Linked DNA regions of Arabidopsis thaliana. The protein of the gene in region 3 interacts with the protein of the main gene of each other region in a pairwise test. Each region holds a gene or a part of one and is shown on either strand. Other genes may lie near its edges.

What was found. Proteins that work in one complex are often made in the same cells at the same time.
Region 1: the proteins of AT1G68810 (region 3) and ZFP8 interact in a two-hybrid assay, tested with the Arabidopsis thaliana proteins (one large-scale study listed by BioGRID).
Region 2: the proteins of AT1G68810 (region 3) and ARF9 interact in a two-hybrid assay, tested with the Arabidopsis thaliana proteins (one large-scale study listed by BioGRID).

The regions. Positions count from the first base shown.
Region 1 is NC_003071.7:17,504,462-17,510,933, forward strand, and holds ZFP8 (zinc finger protein 8), read left to right. Parts: upstream 1-2,881; 5' UTR 2,882-3,094; coding exon 3,095-3,868; 3' UTR 3,869-4,155; downstream 4,156-6,472. Other genes in the region: AT2G41945 (uncharacterized protein), read right to left, coding at 5,472-5,504. UniProt on the Arabidopsis thaliana protein: Probable transcription factor required for the initiation of inflorescence trichomes in response to gibberellin and cytokinin. Is not involved in the regulation of trichome branching. Is functionally equivalent to GIS2.
Region 2 is NC_003075.7:12,448,180-12,457,686, reverse strand, and holds ARF9 (auxin response factor 9), read right to left. Parts: upstream 6,545-9,507; 5' UTR 6,096-6,544; coding exon 6,080-6,095; intron 5,989-6,079; coding exon 5,882-5,988; intron 5,802-5,881; coding exon 5,703-5,801; intron 5,527-5,702; coding exon 5,470-5,526; intron 5,380-5,469; coding exon 5,224-5,379; intron 5,141-5,223; coding exon 5,056-5,140; intron 4,971-5,055; coding exon 4,880-4,970; intron 4,791-4,879; coding exon 4,626-4,790; intron 4,544-4,625; coding exon 4,430-4,543; intron 4,351-4,429; coding exon 4,278-4,350; intron 4,195-4,277; coding exon 4,047-4,194; intron 3,968-4,046; coding exon 3,498-3,967; intron 3,367-3,497; coding exon 3,179-3,366; intron 3,098-3,178; coding exon 2,950-3,097; 3' UTR 2,318-2,949; downstream 1-2,317. Other genes in the region: CSLG3 (cellulose synthase like G3), read right to left, coding at 555-1,196.
Region 3 is NC_003070.9:25,857,814-25,865,759, forward strand, and holds AT1G68810 (basic helix-loop-helix (bHLH) DNA-binding superfamily protein), read left to right. Parts: upstream 1-3,280; 5' UTR 3,281-3,475; coding exon 3,476-4,090; intron 4,091-4,577; coding exon 4,578-5,069; 3' UTR 5,070-5,721; downstream 5,722-7,946.

The sequences.
Region 1 (6,472 bases), on a different chromosome or scaffold from region 3:
TAGCTTTTAATTTTGGGGTTCCTCTCATTCTTATTTTCTGTTTTCTTCTACTTAAAATAAAATATCTTTCACCATTTATTTTCTATATTACTTTGAAGTTCGGTCCTTGTATATAGCTGAACATTGTGAGGTCACATATAACGAAAAGGACAAGATATGCTTGTCCCTCAAAATCTAGACTCTTTTTTCTCATCTTTCATATTTATTATCTTTATTATTTATTACTGGCCCAAACATTTCATCATATTTCTTTTCAGAAAAATAAACAAGGAGGGAATTTGCATACATATGTGTATATAAGAGTGGAGGAGTTGAATCCAAGAAATGGATGTGAGGGCAAGAAAGTGAGAGATATGGTCCCCTCAACAAAAGCCATTAAATCTCTGAGCATATGACTGTGACTTTAATGGCAAAGCAAAGAGGTTTGCAATTGCATGATTCAATGAAGAGTTGCTGTTAGGGTTTGGGAGATTTGTGGGCTTTTAAGTGCATGTTTTTTTGTGGGGTTCAAGTGCCATTCATGGGACCCAATTACATTTTTTTTAGATTTGTTTTACTTTTCTTTGTAACCATGTTTTTAGATATGCATTTACAATATGTTTTTTTTTTCTTCCCTTTTTTATGAGATTTAAAAGTATTATATTATGACACAAGTATGTTACACTGGTTAGGACTTAGCTTTAGACAAAAAAAAATCAGAGTCCGAGATTTTATATAGATTTCGTCTTTTTAATCAAAAAAGTTCTGATATATAACCTAAAAAGACTACGTAGTATGATCTAAGAGATTTGACAAAATTTGGTTGTAGAAAGTCCGATATTAAGCATTCTCATCAATTTCCCTTAAATATTTTTCTAAAATATTAGAGGAATACAAAAAAACATTCTCATTAACTATATAATTTTAATAACAGTTAAAACTTTCATATTTGCATGCCAAGGCTCTCTGATGAGTTTAAATGTTAAATCGCATGTGTAGGTTTAAACAGAGTTTATTGTTTGTGGAAAAATAAAAGAGACGTGGACTCGTCATGTGAAGTCCAAAATCTGCAAAATTATGTATGTAAATTAATGTACTTTGGGACCAGCATTCGTATGGACATTATTACCATAGTTGAATTTACTTCCCTTTCTTACAATAAGCTTTTGATTACTCATATATACCTCACACATGTTATGTGAATCGGTAAATTCATACTATATGTGAGGAAGTCACTTACAACAGTTGGATTTTAAAGGGAATCCGTCTGAAAAAAATTTGGAGAAAAAAAGAAATTGTTTTGCTTACATAATTTAATTTAAAAATTATAAATAACAATACTTTTATAAGAGAATAGTTTATCTGTTGACCAAAAAAAAAGGAATAGTTTATCTATCCACAAATGGATGATCCATATTGGAGTATATAGAACGATAAGAGATGATTCGATACGTACTAAATGAAAACTTTGAATACTGTGTATAGTAAGCAATCAGCATTAGTTTACAAGATCTTAGTTTTCGTAGGATTAGTTTAGACTGTTTAGTAATTTGATTCCAACCATTGTACAGGAGAAAATTTTTACCGCTCAAAACAACTAACTGAACGTCATACTTAATTGGGAATTTGGGAGTCGTCAAAGAAATGAAAAAGGTCAGATTAATTTATGGATTAATGAGTTTTATAGTCCTTATTCCAGCTTGACATTAGCAACATATACATTATTTGTGTGACATAATCAGGGAATATATATAATCAAAATTAATGGGATTTAAAATTTAATTATTCTTACAAAATATCAAAAAATTTAGTGTAGACGAACAAAAAGAGAATACATATATATATATAGTTCATTTGAAGAAGACGTGTATATGATCGATCCGAGTTGATAAGTATTAACAGATTACATACATATTGATAAGATGATGTGATCTCATCGATTAAGGTTCAATCTTTTAAATTGGTTAACTATCTGGTGATGACATGTCAACTAGTCGATTATGAGCATCATTAATGATCATGAACATGGACCACCTCTCTCTCTCTGTAAGATTATCTTTGCATCAAAGAGACAAAACATCCAAGAGACTAAAAGTATGGTCCTTGAGAGAGAAGAAGTCTCTTTAATTAGGTCTTTCTATTTCTCTCTCTCTCTATTAGTAGTAAAATCCATGTACTTATACGTAGACATAATAACCAAATAGGTCCGTGATGTTAAAGAGTACACACCTAACTTCACCTTGCTAATGATCTCTTACCTACAAACTCTCACTGTTTTTAGTTCATCTCATTACTCACTGTGACCCCATTTCATCTGCTTACGACCAATTTGGTAAGCTTTTTGTCTTAGTTTCAACATTTGCAGGAATCACTTTAAGAAACAACTAACTAAAAAGGAGATAACTTTGAAAAAGGAGGATTGATGGGTTTGTTTTTGATGAGATGGATATTTGTATATGTATGTCTAATGAGAGATATATTGCGTAGGGGAAGTGAATGTAGATTAGAGGTCTCCCTATATATTGATTGATTTTATCCGGCTATTTTTACCTACCGCGACACACGGTATAGATTCATAGTAAGCTACAATTTAAACACAAGATAAATCTGTAATCATATAGTATAGTACTATGCTTCCATATATACCCCATATTTACGTCTCCTATGCTTCCATACGCTAATTAGTTTTTTTTTTTTTCCAACCATAATTGCAGGTTTATATAAACATGAACTAACGAAAAAAATAAAATATAAACATGCACCATGGAGTCAATTTTAAAATTCTATGAGGTTTGATTTTCAAAAGGAAAAATCTAATATACTAATGAAAAAATTGAGATCATAAAAAAACTAATGAAGAAGTAGATTTATTTATTTTGAAAAATATGTACAAGTGAAATGTGGATCATTCTTTAGCTATATATATATAGGTGGATAAACGTAAAATCACGCACGCGGCCATGCTGCAGGGGTTAAATAGCAATTATGTATTTACCTTAAAAAGAATTTGGGAACCTCTCTTTAAATTAATGCAAAACCTCATCTCTTGTCTTTCTGTCTCTGAAACAGTCAACCTCATTCTTCTCAAACTCACTCTCCCTGATCTCTCTCTTCCATGGACGAAACCAACGGACGAAGAGAAACTCACGATTTCATGAACGTCAACGTTGAATCCTTCTCTCAGCTTCCTTTCATCCGCCGTACTCCTCCCAAAGAAAAAGCCGCCATTATTCGTCTCTTCGGCCAAGAGCTCGTCGGTGATAACTCCGACAACTTATCCGCAGAACCTTCTGATCATCAAACCACTACCAAGAACGATGAGAGCTCTGAGAATATCAAGGACAAAGACAAAGAAAAAGATAAGGACAAAGACAAAGATAACAACAACAACAGGAGATTCGAGTGTCACTACTGCTTCAGAAACTTCCCAACTTCTCAAGCCCTAGGTGGACATCAAAACGCTCACAAACGTGAACGTCAACACGCCAAACGCGGTTCCATGACATCATACCTTCATCATCATCAGCCTCATGACCCTCACCACATCTACGGCTTCCTCAACAACCACCACCACCGTCACTATCCGTCTTGGACGACGGAAGCTAGATCATACTACGGCGGAGGGGGACATCAAACGCCGTCGTACTACTCAAGGAATACTCTTGCTCCTCCTTCTTCTAACCCACCGACAATCAACGGAAGTCCTTTAGGTTTGTGGCGTGTACCGCCTTCCACGTCAACAAATACTATTCAAGGCGTTTACTCATCTTCACCAGCTTCAGCGTTTAGGTCGCATGAGCAAGAGACTAATAAGGAGCCTAATAACTGGCCGTACAGATTGATGAAACCCAATGTGCAAGATCATGTGAGTCTCGATCTTCATCTCTGACTTCTTTTATTTTATTTTTTTATCATCCATCATTGCTGTGATATATGAGACTCGCTGATCGGTGAAGCCAATTCTTTTGAGAGTGTTGGAGACTGAAAAAAAGAAAAAGAAAACGAGAACCGGTTTGGTGTGTAGATCATCTTGAACCTTTTTGAGGTTTTCACATTCTGAGTTTATATTAATAAAGGGAATAATATTTTGGTTAATTAGTAAAATTCGTTCATCCGTTTAATTTCCTCTCACGTGTGTGTGAATGTGAATGATATAATTATCGTTTTTTTTGTTTGATTTCATCTGTTCATTTGTGAGTTCTGTTATGGCTTCCTTCAAGACTCTCTATAACTTTCAGAGAAAGAGGAACATTAATTTAAGGGCCATGGAAGTCACACGTACTTTCTCTCTGTTGTTGCAGTCGAGATATTTAAAGTCTTAACCATTAAAAACCCCAGAAGACTCTTTAGATACAAAATGCTTAGGGTCTCTGTCTAATTAAAACGGTCTTTTACCGAATCAAGAGGCAACGAAGGATGGGTAAATGCAGATGTTGATGATGATTCGGTGACTGTGGGGATCACTGAAGACAATGGACAAGACAAAAGGGGAGAGAGAGAGAGAGAGTTGAGAAGTGAAAGTGGTCCATGATTACAAGTGTAGAGTTAGCCAAAGATAGAGCTTTCACATCTTTCTCAACACACAGAACCTAAAGCTAAAGCCTTTCCTCAAAAGCTTTCTTCTTTAGTTTCTTTTCTAACCTTTTTTTGGGCAGTTCAAAGAGAATCATCAACTACAAGCTGTCTACCATATTTCCTTGTTCATCTCTCTCTCTCTCTCCCCATATACCACAATGCTCAAAATATAATAAGAAAATAAAAATACTGGTTACAAGCCACGGCACATGACCATGTTTCTTCTTATTGCCTCCAGTGAACAGACTTTGAATGAAGTCCATATGCCCCAAGGCCTACAAGAATCACAATCGTATATCTCAGAAGAAGCAATGATATCAATCCTCGTACCTAACATATGACCTTCAATGTCTTAACACTAACCAAACATTAAAGACAACCATATTTATATAGCTACGACTTTCGGCATAGACCAAGATATTCAAATGCTTGACTTTTCCAGTTTTGGCAAGACTTCAATCACATATATATGTGGCATTGCCTCACACTACAAATATACTACAATAAGAACTCAAGATGGTTACAGATATATAAAGCCTATTTGCTTTAGAATTACCAGCTGTGATACTAACCAATATATAAAAGTTAAACGACAGCTAATCTTACTCTATCAAGTCTATAATTCCAAAAGAACAACTTTGGATACTCTTGAGGTAAAAGTATGCAGGTTATAAGTACTGAGATTGAACAGAAGGAATACTTTTCCTTCTCTAGTTATATATGTCGTGAAACGTTGTAGCATGATTGCTAATGTGTACCTAATCAACTAACATTATGCAAGGAGTACGTCTTAATATTATCCTAAAGCTTTCAAACAAATCTCAGCACATTATTGTGATAACAGGTTGCAGAAAGTGACATTGCAAAACTTCTGACCTTAAGTCTTTAGTCGCGGAACAGGACAGTCGCTGTCTATATTACGGGGAAGGACCAAACGGTGCAAACTCAGCCTGTCAATCAAAAGGATGAGAGATAAGGTTTTCTAGACAAGTCTTATGCAACAAACTATTGCAATAAGGATGCATATCAAAATCACATGGGAACAAAAAACCAAACGAAAAAGAAGAAGAAGACATATCTGCCCTCCTTGGAACAGTTATTTGGATACAAACTGCAGAGGTTAAACCAGAGAGCACAGTACCTTTGAGAATTACGTGATGGTTTTATCAAATTATGGAAAATTTAAGGATACTCAGTGAATGAATGCTGTCAAAGAGTTAACATCAAGAGCAGCTATAAAAGGACCCACTAGTTAATGCAATGGAGAAGGAAGCATGTGATGAACAACATGATAAAAGAAGCACATAATAAAGACGTGTGAAGAGCATACACATTATATAACCTTAGGACCACTTTCTCTGCTCTCTTGTTTTTTTTTAGATATGTAAAAGGGACTAGTGGAATTTAAGGAACATCGGCCCACAACCCTAGGAAAGTTGCAACTTGAGGATGATAGTTCGAACAGTACACATCTCAAACCCCTTAAGAAATAAAACTCACTCAATCTCATTTACACAACAGTGCAACCTGCCAAAACGGTCTCATTTTTGTGACCAAAGCTACATATATAAAGTTCCACCGACCCTATAGACCATGTGGTTCAATCCTTGGGAGTTGGGACTATGGCTTCTTACACAACTAATTTTCAACATCTACTTGCTTGCTACCATTGCTACCATCACTCAGAATCTCCGATCTTGTTGTCAGAATTCAAGACAAACATATCAAAAGTCATAGCAATGGATTCATATGAAAAGGTAGCCATTGAGAAGACATGGTTCATGTAGTTCCATGACTGCTTGTAAAATAGATCAGGAGGATATTGTGTAAGCAGTATAATATATTCAAGAATCAAATACCATGGCATTATCAGTAGAGAGGACCTAAAAGACATTATATTTGGTATAACTATGTTGAG
Region 2 (9,507 bases), on a different chromosome or scaffold from region 3:
CTGTTTAATATTTAATTCATAATTGATGATATATCAAGGAAATGCTTACAGTAATGGTGGGCAGGAAATATCCAATTCAAGTTTACTTTACTTATGCGCAATCATGGATAACTGAAAATTCAAACAAAGAAAAACTTCTATCATTTAGATTACTAATACTCCTATAGTCGTATATATTTTTGGGAGAAATTGTTGTAGGTCACTACGACGAGTCACAGTCTTCCAAAGTATTAGGTCATAAAAGAACAAGATTGCCACTATCGTCGAAAAGAGATACGATAAGGTTCTGAAGTGACTTCTTCAACACAACAATCGCTCCCCATTGATTTAGCAAATAATTATTTTTTCTGTTTGTAGTTTTGTACTCATTTTATTTTTTATTTGTCATTATTAATTACTCCTTCCACGAAAAATATAAATGTTTTTTTGTCCAAATTTTTTTATTAAACATGTTATTCCCCACTATTCAACGTAACCAAAATGAATGACAATTTTAACATTCGATAAAAAAAAAAACATTCCTAATTATAAGTGATTAGTAGAATAATACGCACCTTGATATTTTCAGCTTCATCACTCCGAGAACGTAACTTTGATGAGAAATAAACTTCAGGAGACCGATCTTGAACATTATTCTTCTTGCAAAAAGGCAACCAATGCTTAGAGAACTTAGCTGCCTCCATAAGAGCAAACAAAGTCAACGACGAACCTCCATCGTCCGATACGTAGACTGAGATCTTATCGGACGGATACTCGTAAGCCATCACCGATAAGGCAGTGTTGACCACCATCATCGGAGGCTCCTTGTACGGATCAGCCGTGCATATAAACACGTCCAGTTTCGGGAAGTCCTCCGGTTCAGCTGCATATTTCTCAGGGTACTCGGTCCGGCGAACCGGTTTATACCGGAGGGAAGTTGTGGTTGCCCACATGAAGGCGAGAACAATATCGGAGAGGAGAAGGAGAGACGTGATTAGAGTTGTGTTTGCTGTGAGAAGTGAGTGTACATGGTGATACATGAGGGCTATGATGCCACACGTGTGAAATACGGCGTAGATTCTATATGGAATGGTGCGCCGGCAAGGATGACACGTGTGGAGGGTTGTGTCGCCGACCGAGTGTTTTCTGTGAGGCTCCATCGTGGTACTCTTTATTTTTAATAGAAAGACAAATTGTTTTAGAGAAACTTGGTACATAGAACAAAACTCACCATTGATATTGATATTTTATAGGCGATTTTTTTTTCCAGAGTAGACATTCTACACCTCGATTTTAGGTTGGAAAAGTAAATCACTGAATAGTGCTATAAGTTTTTAAAATAAGTAATTACATCTATGCAATTTAAATACAATGTATACTTCCGTCACTAGAATATTACTTAAAATTTAATAAGTTCAAATTTAACATATTAAAATAATTTATAACAAGTTGTTTATCAAATATATAATAAAACAAAGTTATTTATTAGTAAAATGAGTTTACTATTATTCGGTATACACACATACATATAAATTCCTGATATAGATACTGACTGTATGTATAAGTTGGTATTTGGTGAGCTTTTAATGGTACAATTAAATTTAAACTTCTCTATATATGGAAAGAAAAAAAGAAAAAAAAGAAGAGGAAAAGATAGGGATTGTGAGATCCACTGCCTTCACAAATCTCGGCAATAAATAACCTACATCATCACTTCATTATCTCGGCAGTAAATAACGTCATTAACTATGAACGGTATCGACGTATTAGTAAAGAGATTCGTATAGGTGTATTTATGTGGTACGTATATAAATATTGGACCGTCAGAAAATATAGATATTTGGACCAAGCAACCAGATATGCACGATTTTTTTTCCCCAAATGATACACTAATTAAAATTAGATTGAACTTATATGTTGGATAATCATTATCTAATCTTTCGTATGTGGGATTTAGAATAATATCCTAACATTTTCTACACACTTGTCATAATCAAAGAAATACTATATGTACATATTATAAAGACAAACTTCACAATTTATAATCTCACCAGATCAGCATGTGTTATACTATGTTGACATATTGTAGTTGTTTTGCAGCGAGAATGGTTGTACACGACATATTGGACTAATCCAAGTAATATGCATAACCCAAATGATATCTAAAGAGAAAAATAACTCTTTTTTCCTTTGCAGCATTCGATATTTTAATGCATGTGAGTGAATAGTGATATAAGGGAATGATACACTTTACAAACATAAGGGGATCCAGAAGTAGTAGCGAAAAGGTGGTCCATACTTCATACAATTACGTTTGTGAATATGGTGGCAAGAGCGGCCACATACATGTCCTCACAGACAAAACATCAATAATCTTGAATCATTGTTAAGGTTAGTGGGAAAACCTGAAATAGTTTTAGGTCTAGAGTTTTGTTTATTTAACATTTTAAATATTGATAATATATGTACCTTTGGGGATTTGACAAATACAAGAAAGCCATGTTTGAAATTTTATATATACATTAAAACTTAGATGAAAAACAAAATCAAAGAAAACACAACTACGAAAAAGAATCAGAAAACACGAGAGCCATGAGGTATAATCCCTCTTTAATCTCTTATAATCCCAGAGTCCCAAAAGTCCTTCATCAAGTTATTCACAAATCTCATTCTCTTTTTTTTTTTTTTTTTTTTTTTTTCTTTCTGTTCGTTACATATTTGTTTCTCTTACACACAAGTTCCTAGAAGAAAAAGAAACTTCCAAAAGCCTATTTTAAAAGTAGAAAACCCTCTCCCCATAAACCCCCTTTCTCCATAAGAGGCTCCAAAAAAACGAGCCATTTTTTTTGCCTCAGGGGATGTAGTTTCTTGTTTAAGCCATGCGCAACAAAACACAGACACAAACAAGATAATTCCGAAAGACAAAGCAAATAAGAAGGAGACGAAGACTGATAGAGAATAGAATAAAAATTAGTTGGAATGATTATCTGTTTTGGAAGTTGTTGTTAGTGTTGTTTCAACTTCCCTTAACAGCATCCGGAGTTGGTTCCCAGGCGTCATTTTCTTCACTTCCTCTTTCGACCATATGAATATTCTCTTCACCATGTTGCAGAACTCACTGCACCACCAAATTAAGTCAACAGATATGAGTTTTGTGTAGTGATTCTATTGACTAAGAGATAAAGAGTAAGTTACTTACGGCCATGGGTCATCACCGACAAGCATCATATCTCCCTCATCGTCTGTGAACACTATTTCCCATTGATTGCGACTCCGCAGTTCCCCTTTTATGTCAAACAGCTTCTCAATGTCATCTATGAGCTCGTTGTACCCCTTTAGCGCATTTAAATCCACAGCCCTGCCCACAGGTACGCCTTGCATCTGCACCTGTTCAGCGATAAAGAATTCAGGATCCTGTTCAGTCCCGCAAACATTATACATAATGTGTATCTGTTTTGCAACTCACAGATTACACAATGTATATACACTTCACGGTAGCCATGTAGGCATATATATACCTTGGTACGGCTTCTTGTAGAACTGCTTTGCTTGCTTTGGACCTCTTTTGGTGATCCCTCCGCAGGTTCCTGCTTTTTCTCTTCTGATACTTTTGAAATCTCTGATTTTGGGTCTGAGTGGCTGTCCATAGTCGGTTTGGATATGTTGATTGGTCGCATGGGTGCAGTTTTCTCCTCAGGAACCGCTAGGGAGGAACTCATCAGATCAATTCCAAATAATCTATAATTAGCGGTTGTCTCAGGCTTCTTCTGCTCGACTGGGGAAACCATTTGGTCGTTCAGTGTTGAGTCTTTTGCTACATTTGACACAGAGTAAGAGTTATTTAGCCAGTCAGATTTCTTAGCATCCTCATTTGCATCACGATGACATTGCTGAGGAGAACTCCACTGTGAGGTGATGCACGATTGTGCAAACTCATGGGGTTGCGTCAAAACAGAGCTCCAAAGGTTTGAAGCTGTTATGCCTACATCTAAACACAGCATGTGAGATTTAGCAAGGAAACTTAAGCTATGTACTAGCAAATCAGTGGCGGTTAGATTGTGCCTCACCAAGTGCAGATACTTCACTAACTTGACGGGGCCTTTTGTTCTTCAGCATAACTGATTTGGGAACGTTTTCTGAATTTACAAACGGTTCAATTTCCCATGGTGAAACCTTATTGGGTCTTGAAATCGATGCAGGCTCATCCCAATGAACCTACACAAACATGTAGCAAACTGATTGAGTTTTCACACTTAATAAACACTTTAAAAAACATGTAAAAGTGGAAGGAATTTTACTTCTAAGCATCGCCATTTTGAGTCTTTCCAGTGAGGGGAGCAGTCTTTCACACCAATAACCGTGCCAGAATATCTTTGTAAAGAAATAGATGTGTGAGAATAGCTTTGGGGACAAAGTGCAGGATACATAACAAAGAAAAAATTCAGACTACCTTCTTTCAGGGGAATCCTCTCCCTCAAAACGCATCTTAAATCTCATCCCTACAGAGAACTTATTGCTCATGGCTTCTAGATATTTGTTCAAGCTAATGATGAATTGGCTTGTCCTGCTCAAACCGAGAGTAATTCGATAAGCAGAATGTCGAAAAAACTCACCTCAGATATTCCCATAGAGTAATAACTGTCTACCTTGGTTTATAGTATACAATGAACATAGTTTTCGTTTGAGTAGCATGGCGTGCAGTAGCAAGCACTCCCAGATGCATACTATGACTTGATATAACGGATGAAGGCATACTGCTCTGTTGAAGATTAGCACGTCTGACTCCAACTCGCAACTCTCCGTTCTCCCCTCTGGAAAATATAATATAGCTTGGAAGTTCAAAATCTACCAATGGACCATCAAAAGAAACAAAACAAGGTAGCAGCGTGAAGTATAATACCTCAGGAATACAAAGGTGTCCCCAGCAACCAATCTCTTTGATGTAACAAAGGTGCTCCACCCTGTCGTCAATAGATGCCTCCGTGGTTGGCCTGTTTAATGAATTATCATTCATTTTATACAATTATCATGGATACATAAAGTTTGATCTGAGTTAACAAGAAATGGATTCACCACCTCTAAAAATATGCTTGAATTTCCACTGATAACCGTGCACATCTTCGGCTACTAACTCCTGGGTCGGGGTTTGCTGAGTCATATCCTAAAGGATAAGAACATAAGAAATTCATATCAAAGGCCATTTTGGTGGGAAACAAAGCACAAATAGTAAGCGTGTCCTAATACCAGCGGAGGAAGACATTCCGTGGCATGTTTCCTTAGAACAGAAAAGCCACCATGGGTGCTTGTATCAGACGCTGTCAAAACCTTGCTGAAAGAGTGAACTTTCGGCCTTTGCAACTCAGGAGGAGAGGGATCAGGACTCATAGGTTCATCAACTTCCTACAGTTTACATTTAGAGATCCACTAAACATTGAATTTAAGGAAGTTGCAACAACAAAAACAATCAAGTGATCTAATTGTGTCACTCACAGTTCCAACAGGGATCAAAGTAATCTGAGCATAGACCTCATCCGTATCTTTCTCCGCCTGACAAGAACAGAAATGAAGAAATCAAACAAGATCCAGAACTTCCACTCATATTTAGTCTAATCATTTCCAGCTTCTTCATAGATTTTCTACAATATCCATCTATATATATTGCTTTAACTAATGGACGACACATCATCAGATAAATTCGGTTTTGCTAAATGTGGAAAGTATACCTGAAGACTAACGTTCATAACATTGCAGAGAATCTTAGGAGGAAGAACAAAAAGAGGCTTCATCGTATTTAAGTCGACTTGTTGCGTTGACGCTTCGAGCTGAACCACCAAAAATAGAAATGTTTCATTAAAAAAAATCTTTCTCAAAATTTCACCGATCTAAAAGAGAAGCTGCTTACTTGTTCCATGTGACCTTGAGGAAAATAATAAACTCTTTCTTGAGCTTGAGGAACATCAACAAGAGGTCCCGCGCATAATTTCCATAACTCATCGTACAGATATTCACCTGTTTCACCACACAATGTACACCGGTTAATTTCGCCGGTAATGTCGCCGGAAAATTGAAGAAAAAAACAAAACTCCGGTCAATTTCTCACCTCCGCGATTTGCCATCAGCTGATTAAATCTTCTATCAGTCACACCAAAACACACAGTCTCTCTATCTCTCTCCGATGAAGAACCGGAAGCTGAAACAGTCGAAAATAAAAGAAGGGTGCGTAATAAAGTGAGGAATTAAATTGAAGAAGAAGGTCCCTTGGATTCCGTCTCCACGTTTTCTTGTTCTCTAATGCATGTAAGTAACGATCGAGAGAGATCTGAATCGTAACGCAACGCAATCCTTCCTGCTCTGTAACTGTAACCTCTCTAATTTCTCTCCCGTAAAACCAGCTTCTATCGTCTTCGTCTCCCAAACAAAGAAGACTAAACTCTTTTTTTTTGTCTCTCTTCGTCACTATAATCGTCAAACAACGCCGTTACAAGAAAGAATCTCTCACTCGCTTCTCTCCCGTCTTTAAGTTAACACCTCCGTTTGCTTTTATCTCCGTTTCACTCTCTCTTTTTTCAATACTTTTATTTTTAATAAATTGATTTTATATGTATGTCTAAAATTGGACACCTTTTCGTATATAATAATACGCTATACATTAATTGTATAACCAATTGTAAATTCCTTACTATACTTTCTAAGACATGTTGTTATCCAGACAGTACCAAATTTCTAGGAAATAGCTTGATTTGAAGAAAGTAGAAAGTTATTTTGAAATTAAATGTATTGTTTATAAAAAAATATATGATAGAAATGCTTAGCACAACAATAATTGTTTTCCTCAATTTTTGTTTGATTAAATAAAAAAAGAGCTAGCAAAAAAAAAAGCGTAGCTTTGCTTCTCTATTTAAACCAAAAATCAGTTTTAATTTTACAAAAAAAAAAAAAACTTTAATTTCAAATTTATTTGGTTTATGTTTTAATACACTTTGATATTTTAGTCAAAAACAAATAAATAATGGGTCTATGATAAACACCTTTATACTGTATAATATAGAAAATAATTGGTTGTTTTACACTGTACTAATTGAAAGAGACTTTGTAAGTTATAATTATAAATAGCTTTTTACTTTTTTTCTATACGTACTAAACAATTAAATGCAATTGCGTTAGTGGATGAAGGAATTAGTATTAGTTACTGGATAAATCATAAATGTGTTGGCTTTTAAGGCTGGTACGGAGCGTGAGGGCGCGTGCCGTTGTCGTTACGGTAACAAAAGTCGATCAAGAGACATTAAACAGTAACACCCGTCATCGTTAAGAGTCCGTCACTTTTACCGTTTGCTCTTATGCAGGCAACAATACTGGCTAGACTTGGATTAGAGACGAAGCAGCTTTGACCTCCTTCTTTGGATAAATTACATTTCTACCACTAAATGGTGGGACTAACATAAGCATGTGGGAAGTGTTTCCATCTCTGATTTTTGTTCTTTTCACCTTTTGCAAGAACTTTTTTCCAACTCCACATTTTACTAATTAGAAACATCAAAATTTATTTGAGTCATGATATATGTTGATCGTTGCCAAACAAATATTATCCGGAAAAATTACTTAAATACTTAGAAAAAAATGTTTTGATTAAATGTTTTTTTTTTAGAATTTTGAACATTAATATACGTGAAATCTTTTGAACCGTTAAAAAATGATCGATGATGGATAAATAAGTAGATGTTATAAATAAGCGATTAATATCACTTATAACATCAAGATTAAGTTTCCTAAAAATCTTATGATACTCAAATTGAAGGAACTCAAAAAGTATGACAAGCGACAAACGAAAAACACTAAATAAATCTATTTTACTAATTTAACCAAGATATGTAATATAATAATTTTTGTTAGTATAGTTATGTTTACCATATAAATTCAAATCCTTATAATGTAGATATACATATATGTTGGGTTAGTTATTTATTTTAGTTTTTTTATATGATAAGATTATAACTCCCAAATATTTATTTCAATACAAAATTTAACATAATAATTTTATTTCCTAAACATTTGTACCATCACTAGTAGTGTAGTGCATGGATTTTCGTATAGTAAACTAAGTGCGATCTTTAGATGATCAATAAATTTAAATTTCTGCATCAAAATCGTATATTTGCTGTAGTCATTTGGCAATGAATAATGCCAAACTTTTTAATAAATAATAAGCAAAATATAAAGATGAAAAAGCCTATACTCCATAGTCCATATATTTATATACCAATTAACTAATTACTTTATCGTTTAGTTCTAATTAATTATGTTTAGTATATTACTAATTATGACAGAAAACGTCACGTATGACGTATTTTTGACAATTTCTGTTCCCTTTAAGGATATAAATAAGCAAGATGCCTTAAAACCCACCACCACCATCTCCGGATCTTCTCTTTCTCAATTTAGACTATTTTAATCGTATTTATTTTAGTAATAAATTGGTATCTTGTCCCCCGTATATTCCCCAGAGCTTGTTCAAACGAATCTCAACTGTAATATAGAATTTTCGTGTCCACTTAGAAAGCATTCATTCCCATATATATCTCCCACATGTTTGGTCTCAAATGAGTTCAATCATTTACTGATTTTTAGTCAATTTAGTGGTACTAATTCTAAGAATCTCAATTGTTCATCTATTTTTAACCCAATAGTCAATCGGCATACCACTTCTTCAAGCCCTTATCGAATTCACTCGCTCATGTAGTCATGTGTTTTGTAGAGATTTTTAAGTAATATCTTCTTTCTTGTTTGATTTAATTGGCTAATATTTTTTTGGGGGAAACTAAAGGTATAACTATTGCAAGAACATTGACTTGATGATTATGTATGTGTGTTTTTTTCTCTAAAAACATTGACATTGACTTGGTGATTCATGAGCAAGAAGGTAATTTCGTGATTAACAAGGTAATGAATCTTCTATTAAAATAGTAGGTTACTGATTCCCTGCTTCTTGATGGCGTATTCCCTGTTTTCACCTCTGTATAAAAACATACGTCACAGAAAGTTACTCATATTTGACAGCAAAAATCTAGAAGCAATGAATATGTTCATTTAAAAAAAAAAAATATGATATGTTCAGAAAAAAACTTTCATCTTAAATTTGCTTTAGTTTGTTAGGTCATGTGTTCGATATTCTTGATTCTTGAATTTACTATTTTACATATCGAGGATTAGTGATCAGTAAACAACATTTTTTAGGTCTATACTATCAAATCCTGGCTTTGATTTAAGCTAGGTATATATCACAAGCTATAATTAATATATATATATATATATATATACACATGTTTTATACACACAGAGAGGACAATATATATGTATATATATGATACAAGAGTTAATGGTAATGTTTTTGTGGAACGTGTGTTTCAAATAAATACGAGACGTTGCGAGTTTCTCCAAATGCGTTTCTGTTGCCAACATGTCCACGAGTTTTTTCGTGATTTATCTTCTTATATATCCAAAAATTTACTTCAAACCACATTATTTAGC
Region 3 (7,946 bases):
CATTGTTTGAAATAGAATTAGAAACATGAATGGATGGAACAACAAAACCTCTCAAGCGGAGTGGAGATTAAAATTTAAATATATAATCAAGCATCTAATTGTTTTTCATATTTATAGAGAATGATTAATATTCATTGAAAGGCCAAATTTGAAGAATTGAGATCCCTTTTTTAATTATCTACAACTTCGATTATGTTAAATGGTTACAAAGTGCATGAAGCCATGTAAGCCCACGAAATAGGCTGGGAGAGAGAAAGAGAGAGAGAGAGTACGTTCCAAGACAAAATGATTAAAAGGTCTTTGAGAAGTCATAAAGGATTAGCGTGGGAAATGAAGCTCAAGAGATTGAGCACTGGTTTTTTTTCATGAACAAAATTGGCTCCCTACTTTCTTTCTTTTACTATGCTCAATTATTCTGTTCTTTTCAGACTTTTAATTGACAATTTTTTTCTTAGAATACTCCTTACAATTAATACCAAGGTCGGTCAAACTTTAAACCCTATAATCTACTCAAAAACTATAAACATTATAATTAAAATTATTTGACAAGCTTTTCTCTACACATCTTCTTTTGTATTGTCAAGGAATTCGTACGTTACAATATAAAAATCGCAGCTTCTTTCTTACAAAAGAGTTCAAATTATATCTGAAATTATTGTGAACCGTGTTTTTGCCATTGCTGGTTTTGGTCATGACATTCTAATAGAGTCAGATAGAGAAAGTAGCATCCATCAAAATTTTCAAATACAGTATATATATATATATATACACACACATTTTTCTCATAAATAAAAACCTAAAAATATACACATAAATACGCACACGTGCATGTATATTTGAGTGTATACATGTCAATTTCCAATGTCGTATATTAGACTTCCATCTAAATAAACTACTAATAAAAATTTGGTAAAGAGGAATATTTAAGGTAAAAACAAGAATTATTAAAAACACAAAATTAACTTAGAGCTTTTATAATGAAATGAAAGTGCTAGGAAAGCAAAAGGGCTTTTTGATTGCAAGCTTGAGACTAAGGTCATGATGATACGGCCAGCCTTTCTTGAGTCTTTGGTCGGTCCGACAATCTGTGTGTTTTGTGTTCACTCTCTGTTTTTCTTTCATTTTTTTCTTATAGTTTATTTACTTATATTTCGGTTATAGTGTTTCTCAAGCTCTAGCTCATATATCCTATAACTATAAGGGGATGTGATTTAAAGCAAATTTTGGACCAATCACTATGAAATAAAATATTACTAATTTTGATATTTTATTTCCCTGATAGCTACACTCCTTAGTTGAGCTTTCCGTAAGTTGAAAGCAAAGACGACTTGCAGAGCAACTTTCCAAGTTGCAAACCACACATCCATCTATAGAGACATATCATATAAACAAATTTATTTAGGAAAAATCCTAGAAATTGTCAAGGTTTACTCATTAGATGATACTCTAAATTACACCCATAATATATTGGCTTGCTAAGTTGCAAACTATCCATACATTTATCCATATACATCGTAAGAATAATTTATATAGGAAGACCTAGAAGTTGTAAAATGTGTATGAATAAATTCCAAATGAAGACCTAGAGCTTGTAAAATATAAATTTTAAATCTAGATATATATATATATATAAAATCCATAATATAAACCTTTTGTAAATTATGTTATAAGTTATAACAATTGTAACTTTAAGACGAGTTTACTATTAGCACTTGACACTAGTATTTTGCAAGCATTTAATTTTATGTTAAATTTTGTTTATTTATAGGTGACAATATGGGTAATCCAGTCCAATTTGATCCATAATGTTTATGGGGTGAATGTTAACTAGGTGAACGAAGAACGTAAGCCATTTAGTAAATAGGTTGACCATATAAAATGTTCTAGTTTCTGGTATGAGGGGAGGTAAATGCCTATTAATCTATCTAATTTGATGGGTCGAAAATCAAAATGATAAAATAGTTCTACCCATAAAATATTTTTGTAATAATTTATCACATATTTTCATAATTAATAGTTATTACAATCGGTATCATATGTGATACGTTCATTGTCTTCACATCATCATCGCATTATCATTTTTATCATCATCATAACATAACGATCATCATTTCATACCATCTCCATTATCATCATAATTTTGAAATCACCTTTATGGCACAAAATTTTGGAATCGTGCTTTTGCAAAACAAAACAAAAATATAGTTTTCTCTGCAAAAATCATGTTTTTACGAAACATTGAATATAGCGGAAAATTGTGGATTTGTGTTTTTAGCAATAATTATTATGAAATACTTTTAGCTGGAAGTTGCGAAATTACATAATTCACGATTCATTGAAATTCAGTTTTTGACCAAAAAAAACAAATTGTGAAATTATATGATCATGATGATGATAATGGGGTATGATGGTGATGATATGATAATATTATGATATCATGAATATAATAAGAAACGAATATCATTTACTTTTTTTTTTAGTTTTTAACAAAATGTGGGTAAATATTGGTGAATCATAAATCTTTTACAATCTAACTCATTTAGCCCATTAATTCCTTATGGTCAGAACTCATTTGCCTTATCAATATAATAGGGTCATAATATTTAGTTATGAGGATTTGAATTCGGATGATGACATAAGGAAACATTAGTATCAATTATTAGATTACATGAATTTGGTTAATATTTGTTAATTAGTATCATGGTTTTATATCAACGAGAAAACAATTGACCAAAAAAAAAAGATAACCAAATCACTATCCTACACAATGTTATGTGCTCTCCCATAACTAGTTAGTGGTCTAATAGAAGACAAATAATCAATTTTTTGTTGATACCTACAAATTTGTAACGTATATTATGTGGTCTCTAATACCTAGTTTAGTGCTATAGCGTAGATTTTATTTATATAAATCAATTAAATCTGTATAGTGCCGACTCATATATTTTCGATGCTCTGAAACAAATTTAAAAGATATGTATTATGTGTCATTTTGTATATATAAATTCTTTTTGTGTCTTTTTATATATACAAATTATTTTTCTGTGTATGGATATTTGGCGATCGCATTGCTTGTCCATATACTTATTAGAAATAGAAATAGAAATAGACCGTGAAGTACTAAATGCGTAAATTAAAAGATAGATAATCTAAAGAATCTTAAACCCATTACCTTTTTTTTTTTACCTTTTTAATAATTCCACCACAACACAAAACACAAGTTGCAAACTCCACATATCCTGCAAACCATTGGTAACAAACAAACGCATGAGTTTCCTATATATGTCTGCGTCTACAACATTTGAAAGCAAACTTTTGTCTCTTTTTAACTCTCTTAACTTTCGTTTCTTCTCCTACCTTCTTTTACCAACCTTTCCTTTCTCTTACACACATATATATATACATATATAGAGAGAGAGAAGAGGACAAAGAGTTGAAAGATGAAGACTCTCATGTCTTCATAGAAACAAGTGATATGTGCGCTAAGAAAGAAGAAGAAGAAGAAGAAGAAGAAGACAGTTCTGAAGCCATGAACAACATACAAAATTACCAAAATGACCTCTTCTTTCACCAACTCATCTCTCATCATCACCATCATCATCATGATCCTTCTCAATCTGAAACTTTGGGAGCATCCGGTAACGTTGGATCTGGTTTCACTATCTTCTCTCAAGATTCCGTCTCTCCAATATGGTCTCTACCTCCACCTACCTCGATCCAACCACCATTTGATCAGTTTCCTCCTCCTTCTTCTTCTCCAGCATCTTTCTACGGAAGTTTCTTCAACAGAAGTCGAGCTCATCATCAGGGATTACAGTTTGGGTACGAGGGTTTTGGTGGAGCCACGTCAGCAGCACATCATCATCATGAACAACTTCGGATCTTGTCGGAAGCTTTAGGTCCGGTAGTACAAGCCGGGTCCGGTCCTTTTGGGTTACAAGCTGAGTTAGGGAAGATGACAGCACAAGAGATCATGGACGCTAAAGCTTTGGCTGCTTCAAAGAGTCATAGTGAAGCTGAGAGAAGAAGAAGAGAGAGAATCAATAATCATCTCGCTAAGCTCCGTAGCATATTACCCAACACCACCAAAGTAAGTCCAAAATTTTTATAACATAAATTTTCATACATAAGTAAAAACATTCATCAATCACACACCGTTTAAGTTTTTTGTAAATAAAAAATAATACTAAAACAATGTAGAGTTTAAGTGGAAAAACATAGTAGCTGCGACATGAAAGTTTATGTCACATTTTGTCTCTTTTTATTTTTTTACATTTAGGTTTTATAAAAGGAGAAGTAAGTTATTCAAAGGTTTTCTGTTTTGATCAATGATCTTGTGGGTATTTGTTAAAGTCCCGAGAGAGAATCAGTCAGAGACTGTAGTATAAATAAAAAAGCAAGGAATATGGAACGTCTATGTCGTCGTTTGGTTAATTGATGTAATAAAGAGAAACAACCGGCGCTGCTTAAAAAGCATAAAAAGTCTTATTGCCGGACCAAATCATAACTTCTACGACCACATAATTTTCTCCTCGAAACTATACAAATATGTTTTTTCTTCGTTTTTTTTAATGCAGACGGATAAAGCGTCGTTACTAGCTGAAGTGATCCAACATGTGAAAGAGTTGAAGAGAGAGACTTCAGTGATCTCAGAGACAAATCTTGTCCCAACGGAAAGCGATGAGTTAACGGTAGCTTTCACGGAGGAGGAAGAAACCGGAGATGGCAGATTTGTAATTAAAGCGTCGCTTTGCTGTGAAGACAGGTCGGATCTCTTGCCTGACATGATTAAAACATTGAAAGCTATGCGTCTCAAAACGCTCAAGGCGGAGATAACCACCGTTGGGGGACGAGTCAAGAACGTTTTGTTTGTTACCGGAGAAGAGAGCTCCGGTGAGGAAGTGGAGGAAGAGTACTGTATAGGGACGATTGAGGAAGCTTTGAAAGCGGTGATGGAGAAGAGCAATGTAGAGGAATCATCTTCTTCTGGAAATGCTAAGAGACAGAGAATGAGTAGTCACAACACTATCACTATCGTCGAACAACAACAACAATATAATCAGAGGTAATCAATTTTTTACTTAAATCGCTTTTTTTTTCTTACTTTCGGTGTATCTACTACGTGTGTTGTTTGCTGGTTATGGAAATGAATGTTGTACGTCACGTTATACTATAGATATATGTGTGTTTGTGTGTATGTATAACGGAAGTATTTGTATCCGTTGTGGTCTTGGACTTTTGGTTTGGTTCTAAGATACTTATTTTTAAAAACTTGTATCGTTGAGTTGGTTTTCTAGATATGCTTAATGGGAGTATGTGACGAAAAAAAAGTATGATTTCTGTAAGGCAATGCATGGGTTTGGAAAATTCGTTTTCTCTTGTCATGTGGGAGGATTTGAATTTAATTTTGGCTTATTTTTGCAATTGTGTGAATGAGACCAAAAAGAGACAATGAAGAAGAACAGGAAACGTACCAAAGATGATGTGTATCATTAATTGATTTAGTCGGGTTCTGTCCGGGGGAAAAACAAAAAGAGACAAATTTGGGATTCTGAGCTTCGTACGTTGATGCTTCTCTGACTCTTTTGCCTTGTGTATTTATGTGTTCTGTAGAATCTTTTTCGTGTAACGATTTACATATATTCAAATATTTTGCTTTATATAAATTTGCATCATGGACTGGTATGAGGTAAACATCGGGACCAAGACTAAGATATAAAGGACGTAGCCAATTAGTTTTTTAGGTTGGTCCATGAAATTTAACATGGTATTCTAACCAGAGTTTTATTTTGTAAGTGTGTTATGTTTTATGTGTTGCACATGAGCACGTCCTTGATCGAAGTATTTAAAATTTGTTATTAAAGAAATGTGTAAATTTATAGGGATGATAAGTGATTGTGATTGAGATTGGTCATGACGAGGAACATACGTAATTGACGTCGTATTTGTGTTAAGCTTGCATCATGAAGTGAAGTACGTCGACGTTATTAATAATTATGATCATTTAGTACTACTTACGTACTATTGTACCCTAACTGCCATTTCATTTGTCTTTTAACATTTTTACCTAAGTGACGGTCATGTGAATTGTCTAGTAGACTAGTACTGACTCCTCTTTTGGCTTTCTCTATAGACAACCTTGAATTTAATTTTAATTTATGTTAATTACGTCTTCATTATCAAACCAAAAACTTAGAAGATTTCTAAGTTTTGTGGAGACTTGCAATTAGGGCTCAGCTGGTCATGTTGTTAGAGCGACATAAAATGAGATGAATTTTATTAGTTTGTTGGATTCTACAAAGATATTGGACTACCTACCATTTGCATTGAAAAGAATATCCCAAAAGAGACTTTTGGTTTTACTTTAGGGATCTCTTTTTATTTTATTTTATTTTTTTATAAAGAAGAGAGTATTGGGAAATCTTTAAAGGCCCAAACCAAAGCTCAGCCATATTTCTACAGTTAAGCCCAGCCATTTTTTTACCAAAGAATGCTAATATCATTTTTCAGCAAGATTTTATTGAATCATTCAACTCTCTAATTATTGATTAGTCGCGGTATTAAAATTGTGCTTCCCCTTTTGGAAAAAAATAGAGTAACTGTTCAAATCCTTATCATCCTGATTCAGGATATTAAACCTTAAATATTGTTTGTCAAACTCAACTTCTATCAATCATTTTTTATATTGTTTTAATGTTAAACAACTGTCCATCTATCTTATCAACAAGAAGAAGAATTTCTAGCCAGACTTATAAACTTGCACGACAAGACATTCATCCTTTTTTAATTAATGAACAAGAGTAACGACTTTTACACTTCTCTTGTCACAAAATTATTGAACAGTATTTACAAGTATTTTATAAAAATTGCTATTGGTTGATATTTTTATTGGTGCATGTCAAGATATTTCTGGCAACAATCATTAGAACGCGACCATAACATGTGCTGCAATTTGACAATTCTTTATATCTAAAAAATGACAATTTGACCTCGTTGGAATCTTGGATTTGTTTCTCCCAAGCACAATATGTTCGAGCTATCGTACCATTTCTGAAAGTGTAATTATAAAGACTGCAATCATATATGGGCTCGTGGAGCTAAATCATGGCCTAAAGTTTTTTTTTAATCAAATGGATTTTGAACTTGTGGTAAAGTTTTCGGATCTACGAAAAATTATGCATTCTTAATCAAACCTCTAATTCGATAAGACAATTGTTTTCCAACAAAGAATGTGTCAAAACTCAAAAACTCTTAACAATTGTTTTGAATGTTTTCCAATAATACCACATCGGTTTATGTATCAATTAATATTCCAAAAGTTGATACTCCCAACGATATTCCTATGACCTAGAATTTGATCCATATCTCAAAATTTTACGACCGACAAATATATTAATGTTCTTTTATTTTATTTTATATAGATTAATGGTTTAGTCATCTACATGTATTCATTAATACACCTATATACTGTAATATTTTCACGAAACTTTTAAACATTTACAAAAAATGAAGAGATTAACTTTGAAACGGAAGAGTGTTAATTACTTAATTATGTATGTTTTGTTTGTTTGTCAACGAAGAGTATTATTTTTTTATATACTAATATGAAGACAAAACATATAATTCCATGTCACCTCGTAATCTCGTATGTTGTAAAAAAAATATCTCTATCCAATAGTATTTCACTACCTAGTTTAAATCGCATTCTCTATAATACGTTACCATATTCCCCAAATTACCCTTAGCTATGACCATAGTCGCTGGCTCGCTGCAAAAAGTGAAAGGGGTATATAGGTAAAAAAGGATAAATTAACAGAGAGAGGAAGGGCTTTGGCGTGGAAGCTCAGCTTTTCTCCGAGTCGGGAAAATGTCTTTTTCTCGAAAGAATAAATCTTTTTCTCTTCTCTCTGTGTTACCCTCTTGAAATTTTCCGCGAAAAATCTCAA